2 linked regions of the Mytilus edulis genome follow. The protein of the gene in region 1 interacts with the protein of each later gene in a pairwise test. Links are inferred from orthologs where the notes say so. Each region holds a gene or a part of one and is shown in the gene's direction. Other genes may lie near its edges.

Evidence for each region. The genes of interacting proteins can lie anywhere in the genome.
Region 2: the proteins of splicing factor U2AF 50 kDa subunit-like (region 1) and splicing factor U2AF 35 kDa subunit-like interact in binary tests that used the Drosophila melanogaster proteins (3 or more experiments, as listed by UniProt). The link is inferred for Mytilus edulis from reciprocal best matches to the Drosophila melanogaster genes U2af50 and U2af38.

The regions. Positions count from the first base shown.
Region 1 is NC_092352.1:31,991,166-31,999,462, forward strand, and holds the start of splicing factor U2AF 50 kDa subunit-like, read left to right. Parts: upstream 1-5,088; coding exon 5,089-5,101; intron 5,102-5,613; coding exon 5,614-5,619; intron 5,620-6,491; coding exon 6,492-6,621; intron 6,622-8,297. UniProt on the Drosophila melanogaster protein: Necessary for the splicing of pre-mRNA. Binds to the polypyrimidine tract of introns early during spliceosome assembly.
Region 2 is NC_092348.1:80,710,861-80,719,166, reverse strand, and holds the start of splicing factor U2AF 35 kDa subunit-like, read left to right. Parts: upstream 1-4,956; 5' UTR 4,957-5,037; coding exon 5,038-5,081; intron 5,082-7,574; coding exon 7,575-7,662; intron 7,663-8,052; coding exon 8,053-8,119; intron 8,120-8,306. UniProt on the Drosophila melanogaster protein: Necessary for the splicing of pre-mRNA. Binds to the polypyrimidine tract of introns early during spliceosome assembly.

The DNA.
Region 1 (8,297 bases):
TTAAATAAACGCATGACAGTCAATTATTTAATCTAGTATTTGTTTGCCGAATGTCTAGGACCATTAAACTTTACTAATAAAAAAAATCGTCAACAAGTTCTCTCCCCTTAGTTTCACTTTCAGCGGCCATTTTTAACACAGTTCAGCCATGGCAGAAGAATATGATGATTTTGAAAGACAGCTAGCCGAAAACAGAGGTGTTTATTTGTTTAACTAACCCTTAAAATAAAAACTAGAGCAACTGACAAAGTTACATACATCCATTTTGCAAGTAAAAATTTGTGACAAGCGAGGGTTTAGGACATGACAAAAAAGAACACTTTGGCTTTGGTGCGTGTATAGATTTTTTTCGATAACGTAACGCGTTCTTTGATTCTTATTCGTCAGGGTAACAATTTAGTCCAAATGGAGCAGAAGTGTTATCTTTATTTATAAATAATATGTTGCTATTTCGATGATACTGCTGTTCAGAGCTTGAGTAGAGGACAGTGCTGATTTGATTTAAAGGAAGAGAGATGATTCGGCCATGAAGTAAACTTAATTTCAGTCATACATTATTAAAAGAGATTTTTGTTGTTCATCATGTTCACATTCTTTCATTTATTTATTATTCACCCTCGTCCTTGATAACTGAAAAAAAATCACTTTATTACTCTCATGATTTTTCGTCGTAATGTTTTACAAAAATGAAAACAACAATGAGCATCCATACTGCATAGTCGGCTATAAAACTTTAAAGGCCACAGAAATGGACTGTTTTTCTTGCTACTTATATAATTAGTCTACAGTGGTCAATCCAGAAATTTTTGTAAGTTGGGGAACTGCCTAAGAAGGGGGTGCTCCAGTCATTCGTCAGTAATAACCTATATAATCAACCAAATTTTTTTCTGGTCCTTTTTAAATCGGACTCTGCTCTGCATGACACCAATGATGTATAGAAGTAGTTACACATCCTTGAGGCTTGATCATACAAGTTTATCTTTATTTAGAAAGTCTACATTACATATAAAGATATATTTACCTACCTCTTATTTTATAAAATGAATGTATTATTCAAAACATTGATAGAACCAAAAAAAAGTATAATGGGCCAAAATGAACTAGTTAATGACCTAAACCACATTAAGCTGAACAGGTTTTTTGCCGAAACGTTGCAAAAGCTATAAATTTTAAACTGTCATTTGGAATTCTTTTAACCCTTTCAACGCTACACAAAAAAAGAGAAAAATGGCTGCTGCTGCTGCATTTTTTTTGTGTTTATTCATTAGAACAGTATATTTCTTTTCAGACTGCTGTATCTTTTTTATTATAAGAGATACAGAAAAAGTTATTGCATGAAAAATGCTCAGGAGAGTATGAACTGTAATGTTAGGCAGTTATTTCAGTAAAATTTGTATCAGGTTACCTGCATTTTCAGGTAATTAACAGGTAAAAGGTGTAATTTATTACATTTGTGTTGAATTTTGAATAAAAACTACTTTTAGTCTTCATCTATTTTGTTTTTTTATCTGCCATATAATAAAGAAGACACCAATTGCTCGATTCCGTAGCGTATTGCACCATACATAACGTATTATGTTATCATGGCACAAATCAGTGGCTCCGTCCTCAAAATTTTCAGTCAATCTCTGTTTTCCCCCCTTTTTCTACGACTCGTAATGATCGATCAAATCATATTTTCCACACGAATTGAATGTAATAAACACATTGAGATAACAAGAAACCTTTTAACTAATCCTAGTCATCAGTTTTGCCATAGAAATGCTGAAATATTTCCATATTTACAGCTTCCTTTCCGATTTCCGCCATTTGCATTTGTCAAAATATTTGTTTTTATTTTCCTTCAATTTTCCTTCTACTGCATGATTTTACAATAAAAAATGCCGGGATTTCAAGCGCAAATGAGACCTTGCATATCCTAGATTCATACAAGGAAAAATTAGAGAGGACCCGAATGAAAACCGAATGGTTTAAGAGTCCTTATGAAAAATCCGTTGTCATCGCGGCATATGCCGCGAATAGCAGTGGCGGACGGCGTATGTCATCGCGACATATGCCGTGTATAGCGTTGAAAGGGTTAAGACTTTTCTAAAAATTGTCAAATCATGATCTTGTGCATTGCATTCTGCTGCCTTTGTGAGTTATGTTTTACAGTTTTCGAGCTTAATTAATTGTTTCTCTCCTGGTATTCTGGCATTCCTTCACTATATAATATAAGGAGATAATGTATTATTGCCATTTGAGATAATAATCCATCAGATACCAAATGAAATAGAGTTTAGTTACTAAATCTCATCTGGTCAGAGTTCGCGAAAACTTGTTTTGACCCGTTGGCCATGGGACCGATAAAGCAAGATCAATAAAAGTCAGTCCTACAAAATTTTAGCCAGTCCTAAAAAATCTGTCAATTTTATCCTAAAATAAAAATAAAATATTTTATCTAAAATAACTTTATTATTGTTAGTTTGATTTTTCACAGCCACCGGCAAATAAACAATGAATAACTGATTCTTATCTTCTGATTGTTCTTATTTAAAGTCATCTTCACTATCCATTTCATCATCTGAATCAATTTCTCAGTATTTGTTATCTCCACCAAAGGGTTCAATCATCGATTGTTTGCCTGGGATGGCTTAATGAACAAATTTAGCAGGCCACATGTAGATTGGCGCTTTCGTTTCCGTAGGTTTCCGTTTGTTTATAATAGGAAACCAGTACCGGAAATTACCAGCAGGTACATCTGATGACCGAGGTAAATATGTATTGCAGTGTAACTAATTACCGATTAAAAAGGCACTGCGACGGCCATTTTTACATCGGTCATCAGGACCGGAACTAGCTTTCAAAATATTGGTTCAAGCCTCATTTTGACCGACAGGACCGGCAGGACCTACCATTTTCGTGAAATCTGTCTGGTGACCTTGAACAAAGAACAAAACCTCAAGCATGCTTTGAAATGCTGTCTTCAATCATTGTCTTTTAACTTTTTATCTCTCATGTAAATTATCTTCTCTTGTAATGTGGCATGCCAAACGGTAAAAATTCACTGTAGAAAATTAACAAATGGATTTTGTTCAAAAAGAGCAAATAAAATTCAAAAATAATATACAGCAACAAACAGCAACCACTGAATAATACATTTGCAGGTTGCTGGAAATACTGGTCTGGGTCAGGAACATACAGAATATGGTGGAGTTAAACATGTTTTTGTGCACCCATACATTGTACCTCCCCTCTATTTCCTCACATTTCAATCTCAAACTTCATATATGTTCATCATACCCATTTGTTAATCATGTTTAAAGATCACTCTGAAAACTTTTTGTTTTTATATTTCCTTTTTGTTTTTAGCTCACCTGACCTGAAAGGTCAAGTGAGCTTTTCTCATCACTTGGCGTCCGTCGTCCGTCGTCCTGCGTCCGTCGTCCGTCGTCTGTCGTCCGTCGTCCGTAAACTTTTACAAAAATCTTCTCCTCTGAAACTACTGGGCCAAATTCTACCAAACTTGGCCACAATCATCCTTGGGGTATCTAGTTTAAAAAATGTGTGGCGTGACCCGTCAAACCAACCAAGATGGCCGCCATGGCTAAAAATAGAACATAGGGGTAAAATGCAGTTTTTGGCTTATAACTCAAAAACCAAAGCATTTAGAGCAAATCTGATATGGGGTAAAATTGTTTATCAGGTCAAGATCTATCTGCCCTGAAATTTTCAGATGAATCTGACAACCGGTTGTTGGGTTGCTGCCCCTGAATTGGAAATTTTAGGGCAATTTTGTTGTTTTTGGTTATTATCTTGAATATTATTATAGATAGAGATAAACTGTAAACAGCAATAATGTTCAGCAAAGTAAGATCTACAAATAAGTCAATATATTTAAAATGGTCAGTTGACCCCTTTAGGAGTTATTGGCCTTTATAGTCAATTTTTAACCATTTTTCGTAAATCTTAGTAATCTTTTACAAAAATCTTCTCCTCTGAAACTACCATGCCAAACTAAACCAAACTTGGCCACAATCATCATTGGGATATCTAGTTTAAAAAATGTGTGGCGTGACCCGGCCAACCAACCAAGATGGCTGCCATGGCTAAAAATAGAACATAGGGGTAAAATGCAGTTTTTGGCTTATAACTCAAAAACCAAAGCATTTAGAGCAAATCTGACAAGGGGTAAAATTGTTTATCAGGTCAAGATCTATCTGCCCTGAAATTTTCAGATGAATCGGACAACCCATTGTCGGGTTGCTGCCCCTGAATTGGTAATTTTAGGAAAATATTGCTGTTTTTGGTTATTATCTTGAATATTATTATACATGTAGATAGAGATAAACTGTAAACAGCAATAATGTTCAGCAAGGTAAGACCTACAAATAAGTCAACATGACCAAAATTGTCAGTTGACCCCTTAAGGAGTTATTGCCCTTTATAGTAAATTTTTAACAACTTTTCGTCATTTTTTGAAACTTTTCTAAAAATCTTCTTCTCCAAAACTACTTTGCCAAATTTAACCAAACTTGGCCACAATTATCATTGTGGTTTATAGTTTAAAAAATGTGTCCGATGACCCAGCCTACTAAACAAAATGGCCGACATGGCTAAAATTAGAACATAGTGGTAAAATGCAGTTTTTGCTTTATATCTTTGAAACTAAGACATTTAGGGCAAATCTTTCAACATTTAAATGTCCATCAGAATAAGATATATCCCCTCACAAATTTTGAGTTGAATCGGACAACCGGTTGTTGGGTTGCTGCCCTAAAATTTGTGATTTTAAGGATATTTTGCAGTTTTTGGTTATTATCTTGAATACTATTATAGATAGAGATAAACTGTAAACAGCAATAATGTTCAGCAAAGTAAGATCTACAAATAAGTCAGCATGATCAAAATTGTTAGAGGACCCCTTAAGGAGTTATTGCCCTTTATAGTCAATATTGAACAACTTTTCGTCATTTTTGTAACTTGTATAAAAATCTTTTCGAAAACGACTTGTCCAAATTTAATCAAACTTCGCTACAATCATAATACATTGTACTAGGGTATCTATTTAAAAAAAAAAGTGTCTAATGACCCCGCCTACCAACGAAGATGGCCGACATCAGTAAACACATTAACAGGTGAGCGACACAGGCTCTTGAGAGCCTCTAGTTATATTTCCTTTGTGAAATTTTCAACAAAAATAAATTTATATTATTGATTTATCATGGTCAACTTTTCAAGCAGTTTGAAATGAAATTCTTGTAGAGGCAGATTTAGGTGGAACAGGGGGCCTGGGCCCTTCTTTTGTGGGAAATATTGGTTGAATATTCAGGGTATCATTGGAGCAGGCCCCCTCATATGGTAGTCAGTACCCCCTCCCTTCTGTATCTGCCATTGCCTTGTAATTAAAATGTTAAGAAAATTATTGAAAAAATGCATACACATACATGTATATAGAAGTAAAACTTTAAATCAAAGCTAGACTGATTCCATCATGGGGGGCATAGATTAGATTCATTCAGGTACATTTCAAAAGGAATGTATTTGAATTATGTTATATGCAAAAAATGTGTTAGTCCCTTCATCATGTTCATACTTTCATTTTACAACTTATTAACTTTTTTTTACTTTTAGGAATTGGTATGTAACTGGTTTTCTTGTACAGAGAGATAGGGATCCTTGATTGATTATTAGCTATTTTGTTAATGGACATGCAATAATAATTTTGCAAACAACAACTTATCCAAGAAACAGTCCATCTACATATCAGAATTTTATTAAGCTGTTAGAAATGTGGATACTGCTTTTGAGTTTTACATTCTACCATTATCATGGTCAATGATGTATAAAAATCAAACATGGGCTAGTTAGGCAAAAAAATTGCAAATTTGTGTATTATTTCATGTCGTCCTGGTTTTCCTTAAAAGAGGAAGAGGATATGAAGACAACAGTTGAAAAAAAATCCCTCAAAAACCTACAATAGTGAATACCATGATAAAAAAAGAAAAACACTGTAAAGTCAAAACACAATATAAGTTCACAAAACATCACATAGTAAAATTAAAGATATTAACAGGTGCTCTATTCTTCTGTAATTTTCAATGCATATTTTATATCAGTAAGACAGCAACCTTCATAATACAAAATACAAAAATATATCTTGAAGTCAACATATGTTTGAAGAGAAGGAACAAACAGTTGTTTAAAGATACAGAGTAAGAAAATTACTTGTGATGGAGGACCACTTGACTAAATTCTAAAAGTTAAAAGTCCTAAACTTTAAAACTTTTCAGGCTTTTTAATCATGTGTAAAAATACAACAAACCATTGCAACTTCTTTTGTGTTCAAAAATAAATGTTGTATCAGTTTATTGTTTCATGTTGGTCCTATATTATTAGGCATATTAAAAATATAAATATAATACACATTTGACAATATACAGACAAATCACAATATCTAAAATACTGTACTTCATGAACTTATTTATAAAAAAAGTCAAATATATTAGCAGGGGAATTTAAAGAGGAAAAAGTTTCTAATAACAGACGAAGATCTAGATCACGATCACCAAGAAAACCACGTTCAAGAAGTAAGGACAGAAAAAGATCAAGGTCTAGAGAAAGAAAAAGGAAATCAAAAAGGTATTCTGATTCATTAAGAAATAATCACCAAGGCCAAAATAAAAAGATTGTATGTTTGCCCAAACGCGACCGACCCAAAATAAACCAGCCGACTCAAATTCTTTTTTTGACGTTTTATGGAAGAATTTTTTTTTTTCTTCGGATTTATTTTGGGTCCGCTCCGTCATCGTACGAAACTTAATATTTGTCATCTTTGCGTTTGAAAGTAACTAAATAAGATTAAAAGAAAGCGTATAAGAGACGCAGTTAATCGATATTCGATGTTCTCTGTTTTTATCTTCTGATTTAACGAACGTAAAGAAGTAAAACATGTGAAGTGGCACAGTTTTTTTACGCTGTAGTTGTTTGTACTACCAAACCCTTACCTATATGCTCAATGTTAATTTCATCGTGTTATCGAATATCTGATAAGAATATTCAGGTAGATTTGTTCAAAACCATGTGCAATCGAATATTTTCAAAGTTATTCTGACAGGAAATGGATCCGGAAGTTGCGAATTTACAATCATGCAAGAAGATTTTGTTTTTACTGAATAAAAAGGAATTATTTCTCGATAAATTGTTGTCTTTAATTATAATCTTCCTTTATCATGTAAATTAGATGCCCTTTTATTCAAATAGTTCAAATTTACAAGTCTCATTAGACAGTCAACACGTTGCTGTTTGGGAGAATTTGATAAAACTATAATTGCTCACAGAATCAGAAATATAATCTTAACTGAATGTAGATCCTTCTGAATAATTTATTGCAATATAAATATAAATCCCTTTTGACAAGAGAAATCTGACTTTTGTGAGAAATATTTTTTCACATGTGCAAAAGTAAAAACATGTTATGGACACCATATTGGATTTTTAAAGCAATTGCTTTTATGCCGTCGCGTATGGCCATCTTTGTGACCCAGATCAGAGACTCCGCCCAGATCAAGCCATAGTATTTTGTTAAACAGGCTCCTGGTCAGTCATTCTTTAACACCTATGTATGTTTTCTAATGCAATACATAGCTTGAAACTTTAAAAAAAAGTTAGTAGATTTAAGAAGTTTCAGAATATGTTCTTGTAGATGTATTTTTGTATTTAAAGGGTCAACCGTTTGACTATCAAATAACATAGAAGTCCGAGTGAAAAAAAGTACATTTTTATAAATGCGATTCCGTTTTCCGCCGTTCGTACGATGTTTCAACAAAATATGGATTCATTTCAGTTGCTGATTTAGTATTGAAAATTTAACTGAATTATCTCCTAATAAATACGGTTTTTTATGTTTAATTTGTGTTTCTTTAAGAGGTCAGGTGCTCTTGTTCATTCATAAAATTATCGTTCATTCATACATTTATCGTAAAATCAAAATCACTACACAGGTTAATGCGTAGTGTCAAATTATTACCTGTAATCTAAAAATAGACAAACTTTATTTGCGCAAATAATTTAGCGGAACGAAACCCTTGTTGAAAACACATAACAATAAGTTCGTTTTCCTTTTCTGTCAAAACTCCGTAATATTTATCGATCACCTTACAAATGAAATGGACCCGTCCAAACGTAGTAGATGCCAAGTCGGTCCAGATGAAGAGATATTTACAATTTGGAATTTTCTAGTTTATTAATACATAGATTGAAAAAAAGTACGTCTTTTTAAATATCATGATCAAAACTGGGTTTGCATAACAAATGTC
Region 2 (8,306 bases), on another chromosome or scaffold:
ATTTTTTGCTAGTTTGGGGATTAATGAAGAGAAAACTAAAAAAATCTCCCCACATACAATGTTATCTTAAAAGATCAAATTTAAAAAAAGGCAAATAAAACATTGCAAATAGATTTGGCTTTTGAAATCTCAAAAGTTATACTCTGTGAATAAAACAACCTTTTACAATGCATGCTAGTTACATTTGTTTATAAACAGAAACCTGTTAGAAATGAATTATAAGGAACTTTACATGCACTTAAATTGACAAATAGTAGTGATTATTTATGAGTACTGTATTAGTTTTATGTGGTCTTTATATGACATACAGCTCAGATGGGTTAAAATCATTTGATCTGTGTGAAATATAGTGCTGATAGGCCTAAATCTTAGTTGTTTGTGATTTTATGAAATATACAGCTGTGATTGGCCAAAATTTATAAATAGATTTCATTGTACTTTTGTTATTATAGTTTGATAGAAAACACAAGGTTAAGAGGACCAATAGCTTTTTCTAGTAAAACATTTGAAAAAAATAAGATTAATGATGCTTAGTCTTGTTTCTAAGACGTGTGAGAAGGGGATTGTCCTCTCATTTTGTTGTTAAACATTTAAAAGAAGTATCAGATTTTAAAAAGTGTGGCCATTTAGGATTGTAATTATACAGAAATGCTGCTTGTTTGCATGAATTTTCTTTGAACTGCAGAAGAAAATCATTTTAATCTTTGGTACATATAATCTTAAAAAAAACATTGATTTATGTATTCAAACATTTAAAATGAAAATTATGAGGGGATAAAGTTTATAACATTTAGGTTTATCAATGATTGTACATTTTGTACTATAAATCTATTGCTTCTATCATATTGCAATAAAATAAGTTCAGCGACACAAATTTTCTGCTCATATCTTTTTATTTATGAAGTTTATGTTGAAGTTCTCCGAAATATTATGTTAACAAAATATGATATTTCTTCACACAATCTGTTCATGTTTGATGATTGTCTTTGATTTGTAAATATAAAAAAGTTTTAGTTATCTGCATTGTTATATTTTTCAATTGGATAGATTCATTTAGGGACGACATCAAAAGTTCAATGTAGGATGAAAACTTAATTCATATAGTTTTTTCATTACCCCCCTACCCCCCTCTTAACTTAAATTGGGAAAAATTGATTGACCAATAAGGATATATATAAAGTCGATGTCAATTAAACAAAACATGCAGCAATTTTGACCCCCACCCCCGAGTTTTATTTTTTTTATCCTTCATTGATTTTTTGATGTCGTCCCTTAAGCAAATATGGTAATCAGAGAGACAGTAATTCATAAATTCAATTAAAACTATTCTCAAATGTTTTACTTTGTGAAACATACACTTTTTTAAAGGTATGTTATCAGATGAGCCATGTTTGTTTTACTCATGTCAGTCTTATATAAAGCTTGTTGTGTGAATCTTTATGACGTTCAATGCTATGTTTAATAATATGTGATAATAGCTGTGTGTTTGCAGTTAAGGTAGCTGGGGTGTCTTGGTCAATGTACGTTGAAATTTCATTTTGAAAACTGGGGGGTCACAGACCTTGTTTTTCTTTAAAATACATTGAAATTAACAAAATCAGTTATTTGATATGTGTTATAAAGGGGAAACATATTTTTATAAATGGAGGAACATTAAACAATAAAATTGGTTACACTTCAATGAAAGAACTGCATTTTATTAATATTTCCGAAATATCAAATAACAATGAGGGGTCGCATGCCTTATTTTCTTGTAAACATAAAAATTAAACACATATTGTTTTATCAATGTCTATATAATTATCTACCCTTGATTTTACAAAAAAAAAATCCTGAAAATTTGAAATCCACTTAATTTTTGGATAGTAAAAATCTTTAAATTTCAAGTCAAGTATTTTTGCAACATGTCCAGAAGGAATGCTTAAAAAAAAGATATACCTCTATCTTACGTGCAACAATCGTATTCTGAAAGAGTGTTTTATTTTTGAACAGAAAGCTAGGGGTACTACAACTATAATAATATTGCTTTTGTCCAACTTTATGTGTCGTTTATCACTTGCTGAGGTTTAAGGATCGTCAAAATATGATTAATTCAAAGAATTATTTACAAAATAGAAAAATAAAATATACAAACTATTTAAGATTAATGTTATGTTTAAAAAAATTAAAACGATAGTAGATGAAATTCATGTTGTTTGAATTCTAATGATCATTCATTTCTATTGGATATACTGATATATAAAACAGTTTTAGTAATGTTTTATTACCAAATTGTAACCATTTTGAAAACCGTATTTAAGTTTTTATAATGTAATATATGATCAATTTAATGAAAATTACTGGTAACCCCTTTTCTAATATGTCATGCATGGGGTACAAATTAAAGATGTAATTTTAGTTAGATTTTGATTTATGATTATTTTGCATTGACTTGTTATATGATTTGAGAAAGATTTTGTTTTTATTTGTGTGTATGAAATATTTGTATATTAGAAGTGAAGTTGAAACCAGAATTATACAGATGTGTTTAAACATGCTGATGTTGCACTTATTAAAGATTCGTTGTAGCTTTGTTACATTTGTTGTTCTTAAATTTTTAGTAAAGTTTCAAAATATAAATATATATATATATATATAAATATATATAAATAAACATGTAGAATAAAAAGGATGAGATTCAAGATTATGGTACATTAACAGAAAGCAAACAATAGTGAAACACAAATTTATTGGAAACAAAGGGATATGGCCTGACTATCCATATGAAAAAATTATATGTTTATTGTTTTTATTTGACAGCTGTAAAGATTACACCTAAAAACAAAACTAATATGGCCTAATTATGACTTTTTATCTGGCTGTGCTGAAAAAAAGGAGGTCTTTATGTAGTCATTTTGAAAATTGGTACAAATGTTCCCTATGATATGCTCCATCTAATTTTAATGCCAAATTTCACTGAACAAAGAAAATGATAGTGCAAGCGAGGCATCTGTGTACTATGGACACATTCTTGTTTTTTAGGTGTTTCTATAAAATATATTGAAAACTTGAGATTACATAATAACTAAAGCTTGTAAACAGGAAAGAAAAGGATGGAAATTTGATTGGTTAACTTCCAGCGATGGTTGTCATCATTGTATATGCAATGAAATATTATGTGATTTTTTTAGTAATGGACAGGATAAAACTTTACTCACACATTTTGTCATAGCAAATATTTCTTTATGTGAAGCAAAGATAAATTCTGCACAATTTTTTTAAAACTGCAATTTTAACAAAGACTCAAAGGAGAAACAATGGTGGTATTACACCGGTATTGTAGTTCTCATAGAATTTTGAAACGCTGGTGAATACCTGAGAAATTCTATAATTATAAAATGGGAGGAAGATACAATAAAAAAACAGTCAAAATACAATTTAAAAAACAATACATGTTACAATATTATACAATACTCTACATCTTAAAATCTTATACAATATAATACAGTACAATACATTTAACAATACAAACATATTTTAAGCAACAATACAATACAATACAATACAGTAGGATATGTTATTTCAATTGTAATCTTGTGCTTGCCTTTGAATTGTGATGTTGAGGATTTGAACCATGGCTGGGTCAAAACCAAAGACCTCAAAATTGGTATTTGCTGCTTTTCTTTTTGGCGTACCAAATTAAGGGGTACGAGCAAAGACTGTTCATATAGGAGTCCGAAAATGTATCCAGATAGGACAACATGTCATCATGCAGGTTGTTACCGTGGTGAACTAGCACCTTATTAATCCAGCTCAGCATGTTGGTCTAGTACAAAGCAGGGTTGGTATTTATAGTTCATTAACATGTTCTCGTCCTTAATATGCATTAAATTTGCAGCTGGACATTAAGCCATCATCGTCATTCCCATTAAGGTCATTAACAAACTATGATGGTGGGAACATAGAAAATTTATTATACCAAAATTAAGGGGTGAAAATATAACACTTTACAAATTGCCTGCATCTAAAGCACTTTTCCGGATTAACTTCATCAGATACACTCAAACTTGAACATTAGAAAGCCATGTATAAAGGAAGAGAAACACTTCAAAAATTAAAGCAATGTGTATTTATAGACTTACTCAGATGATTTGCCCTTAAATATAGGTTATTATTTTTAAAAGAATTTTACAGGTGGATTGACTTTTGACAAAATTATTACATAATTCAGTTATGATTAAACTTGCCAGTTGGATAAAGGTTAAGGCTCTCAGGAGAAAATACACAACTTATTCCTTAAGAAAGAAAGTAGCAAATTAAGAATAAGGGCACACTCACTAACAATAGAATCTTGCAGATAACTGATATCCAAAAAAAATCTACTTAAAGAACACCACATCTTCCTATATCTATTAAAGACTTAGAAAATTGTGCATGCAGGACATGTTGAAATAGATAGTGACAATTCTTTCTCAAGTGTCCTCACTATATTTAAATTAGAAGCACTGCTGAGCCTCATGATATTCTAAGACTTAACTTATAACAGGCTGGTACAAGTCAAATTGGCACCTGGTTAAATCGGCATCTAGTCAATTCGGCACCTATTTAAAGCCAATTAGTTCCAATAATATTTGATACAATATATTATATATATAAATAATGCTAAAAATGTATAAATTCATGATCTATTTTGGGGGTTTGATTTTATCATGCATTATAACACATGTGTGATTCAACTTAAAAAATTTGTTTTTACAATTAGTTTATTAGTGTAATATCACAACTCTGTTGGGTTTTTTCCAATAGAAGATAGAATACAAATTACAAAATACAACTTTACCAGCAGTGAAATTCTACTTAAGGAAAATTTATATGTGCCTGAAAGGTTTTACTGTACTGAAGATTGAGAACATGGTTATGCGTTATCATCATAGCTATAGTTTTTGGTAATTAGGCAGACTTTAAAAAATTATCATGGTTCCCTGTTTTAAAATTTATAAATAGGAGCAAACGTGTACATGTTCTTCATCGATCTAACGTCAGAACCAGATATTCAACATGGCAGAGTATCTGGCATCGATTTTTGGAACAGAAAAAGACAAGTATGATCAACAATAACGCACTAACAAATTAAACAACGAAATGATCATTTCTATAAGATATGACGAATTAAGGATGCTCATTTTAATACCCTAAAATGAGCCTCATTATAGCTGATAAACAGAGAAAATGCCAAGCACCGGCTCGTGCCATGGGCTAGCCTAATGACGCACTTGAGGCTTTGGCTTTATTGTTCTCTAGACTCCTAAAATGATTAAATCTAGTATTAAATTGGGTTAAATATGATATCTTATGACTATTATGTACGTTTTCATAATTCTAGATCATGACTATTGTAAAAAAAAAAAAGTTAAAAATAATCAGAAAATCTCACACCGATTCACTATAAGTCTTACATGTCTGAGGTAAATACCTTATCGCTATGTGGAAATCTGCGCCTTTTGAACTATTGACTTCATACAACTATCCATATTCCATTGTGGTGTCAGATATTTTCAATTGTGACGTCAAAATTTAACAGACGAGTAAAGGTGGATAAAAAGCATTAATTTAAATCTGATAAACGAAGGGTGAAAGATTCCAGAGGGACATGCAAACTCATAAATCGAAAATAAACTGACACCGCCATAGATAGAAATGAAAAAAAAACCAAACAAACAATAGTACTCAAAACACATCATAGAAAAAGACTATTAAAGCAACACAAACCTCACCAAAAACTATGTGTATCTCTGGTGCTTTGGCATAATTGCGACCTTTACAGACGCATGATAAAAACCAAAATGGCAAAAAGCCATGCTAACAACTATTAAATAAAAGGTAAACGGACAGAAAGTCACAGGACAAAAAGTCACAAATAATTTGTTGACAATTGATTGAATATACGAGAGAAAGATCTTGAAATATTTTCTTTTTGTAACTTAAATTTATTTCGTAAGTTTAGGCAATTGTTCATAAGCCTTGATATATGAAAATTTATTAAAATTAATCATACATATATGCACCACTTTGAGTACCTCAGGCAGAATAAATTGTATATAAACTGTCCTGAAGACGCCTGCCTAGATAATAAAATTGCAGACCATTTGAAGTGTTGTTGTCAATTTTGAATATTATTTATAATACTAGATTGCACATTTACAAATGTATGCTTTAAGAAATAGGTGTCATAGGAATTAATTGACAAAATTTAGTTTCAAAGAAACACATTGACATTTTGCAGGGTTTAAGCTAGGATTTTGAGGGCTTTAGTCACTTTTGCGCGCTATTAAAATCAACCTTATTTTGTGTAAAAGCAAGGGACCAATGATGTATATTATTAGCTTCATCTTTTGACTTAATTTGTCAGATTTTAAGGGATTGAGGCACCAGCATGATTGGCAGTTATTGTATGATTTGACTGTATTGGCCATTATTATGAAAGATTCTGAAATGGAATCCAGAAATTTAGTTCACAATTTCTCTTCAGTTTGTTCCAGGGGTCATTCCTGATCAACAAAAGTTGGATTCTATTTTTTTTAAACAAGGAATCACAGCAGAAATTAACTTGCAATGATTATTTCACTGCATAATCATTATCCATATAAAAGGTCTAAATCGATATTTGGAAATCATTTCTTTCAAGTTGGAAATGTGTAAAATCCTTTTTGGAACTATAATAATGACTGAAAGTAGGTTGTAAACAAATCAACAATAGATCACGTTTACTACTTTCGGTTTTAAAATGAAACGAAAACGGGAAGTGACACGTGGATAATAAATTCAAAACGAGTCCGGATTCATCAGGAAATTATCATTTTTTTGTTTAAATTCCTTTAGTAAGAGATATTTGTCTCTCTCGTTTAATTGATTCTAAATTAAATGATTTCGTATTTTACGTTTTTTTTAAAGTCTATAAATAGTCAAAGGAATACTTTCACGCATGCGTAGAACACAATACAGGAAGCACCTGTTTAACTCGTGACAGTTTTGAATAAACACATTAAAGTTCTTTATTTTAAATGGAAATTGTCGAAAGTTTTTTGATGAAAATTTAAATCAAATATAACGAAAATGCCTTCAAATGACGAATCTACGACAAATGAACTTCAGATCATTGGAAAAATATTGAAATTCAAATGTGAACTGACCGGGTTGTTACATTTTTGATTAATTGACGAAACTAAACTCCTGGTTGTTGAAATGACTTGACGACTGACTGATTTTCCTGGGGAAATAATTATGATGGTCATTCAATTATGGGGTTTAATAATAATTAACGGATTAGTGACCCATCAGATGGCGATAAGCGGATTAGTTGTAATCACAACTTGTAACACCTGTTAAAAATGTTAATTACCTGGAGGTCATAAACTTGTCAAAAACATGAAGACAGGTAGATTTATAGTTTTTATTGCGAATTTTTTTTTACACTTTCAAAATTAAAGTGACGAAATTGATTTGAAATACTTTCGTCAATGAGAAAACCCTTTCGTAAAATACGAAAGTGACGAGCGCTAGCAAAATCACTGCATTTTGTAATTGTTTCATTTCAGAGTTAACTGTTCCTTTTACTTTAAAATTGGTGCCTGTCGACATGGAGAAAGATGTTCACGTCTTCACAACAAACCAACTTTCAGTCAGGTGACATAACTTAACATTTTTTTTTGTTATTTAAGTAGATCATTAGTCTCATCAATGAGTAAATTTTTTTAGTGTTTAAGAAACACAGAAAAAGACATTCATAACTTTAATTGTTAATAAAATAACAAACATGAAAAAAGTAATTTCATTATATTTTAAAAGTTTTTAACGTCTTACATGTAAGTTTTCGAACCTGTTTCTGTTACATTCATGTTTCATACATGGAATCATTTGTACAACGCTAAATCCATTTCTTGAAGTACTGCAAACAAATCTCATTTTGAATTAATTCTTTAGCATTGTCTTAAAGTTTGTTTGAGTGAACCAATGCATTGAATGTACATGTAACTGAAGAATTGATTATGATACGATGTGTATTGTATGTTTCAGACTGTTGTTATGATCAATGCCTACCTGAACCCACAGAATGCTGCCCTTACAGCTGATGGCTCACATAGTATGTATTATGTGTCCAATATTGTCTGGTGTTGTAGTGAGAGAAAAAAAGTTTTAAAATTATTTTCTGTCTTAAATTTGTCATGACCTTGATTTTGTTCAGTATTGTCTACATTTTAGTAATTTTACTTGTGTTTTTCTGTAGATACTTTTTAATATCAAAAGTTTAATAGCTGTTTTGGTTTGAA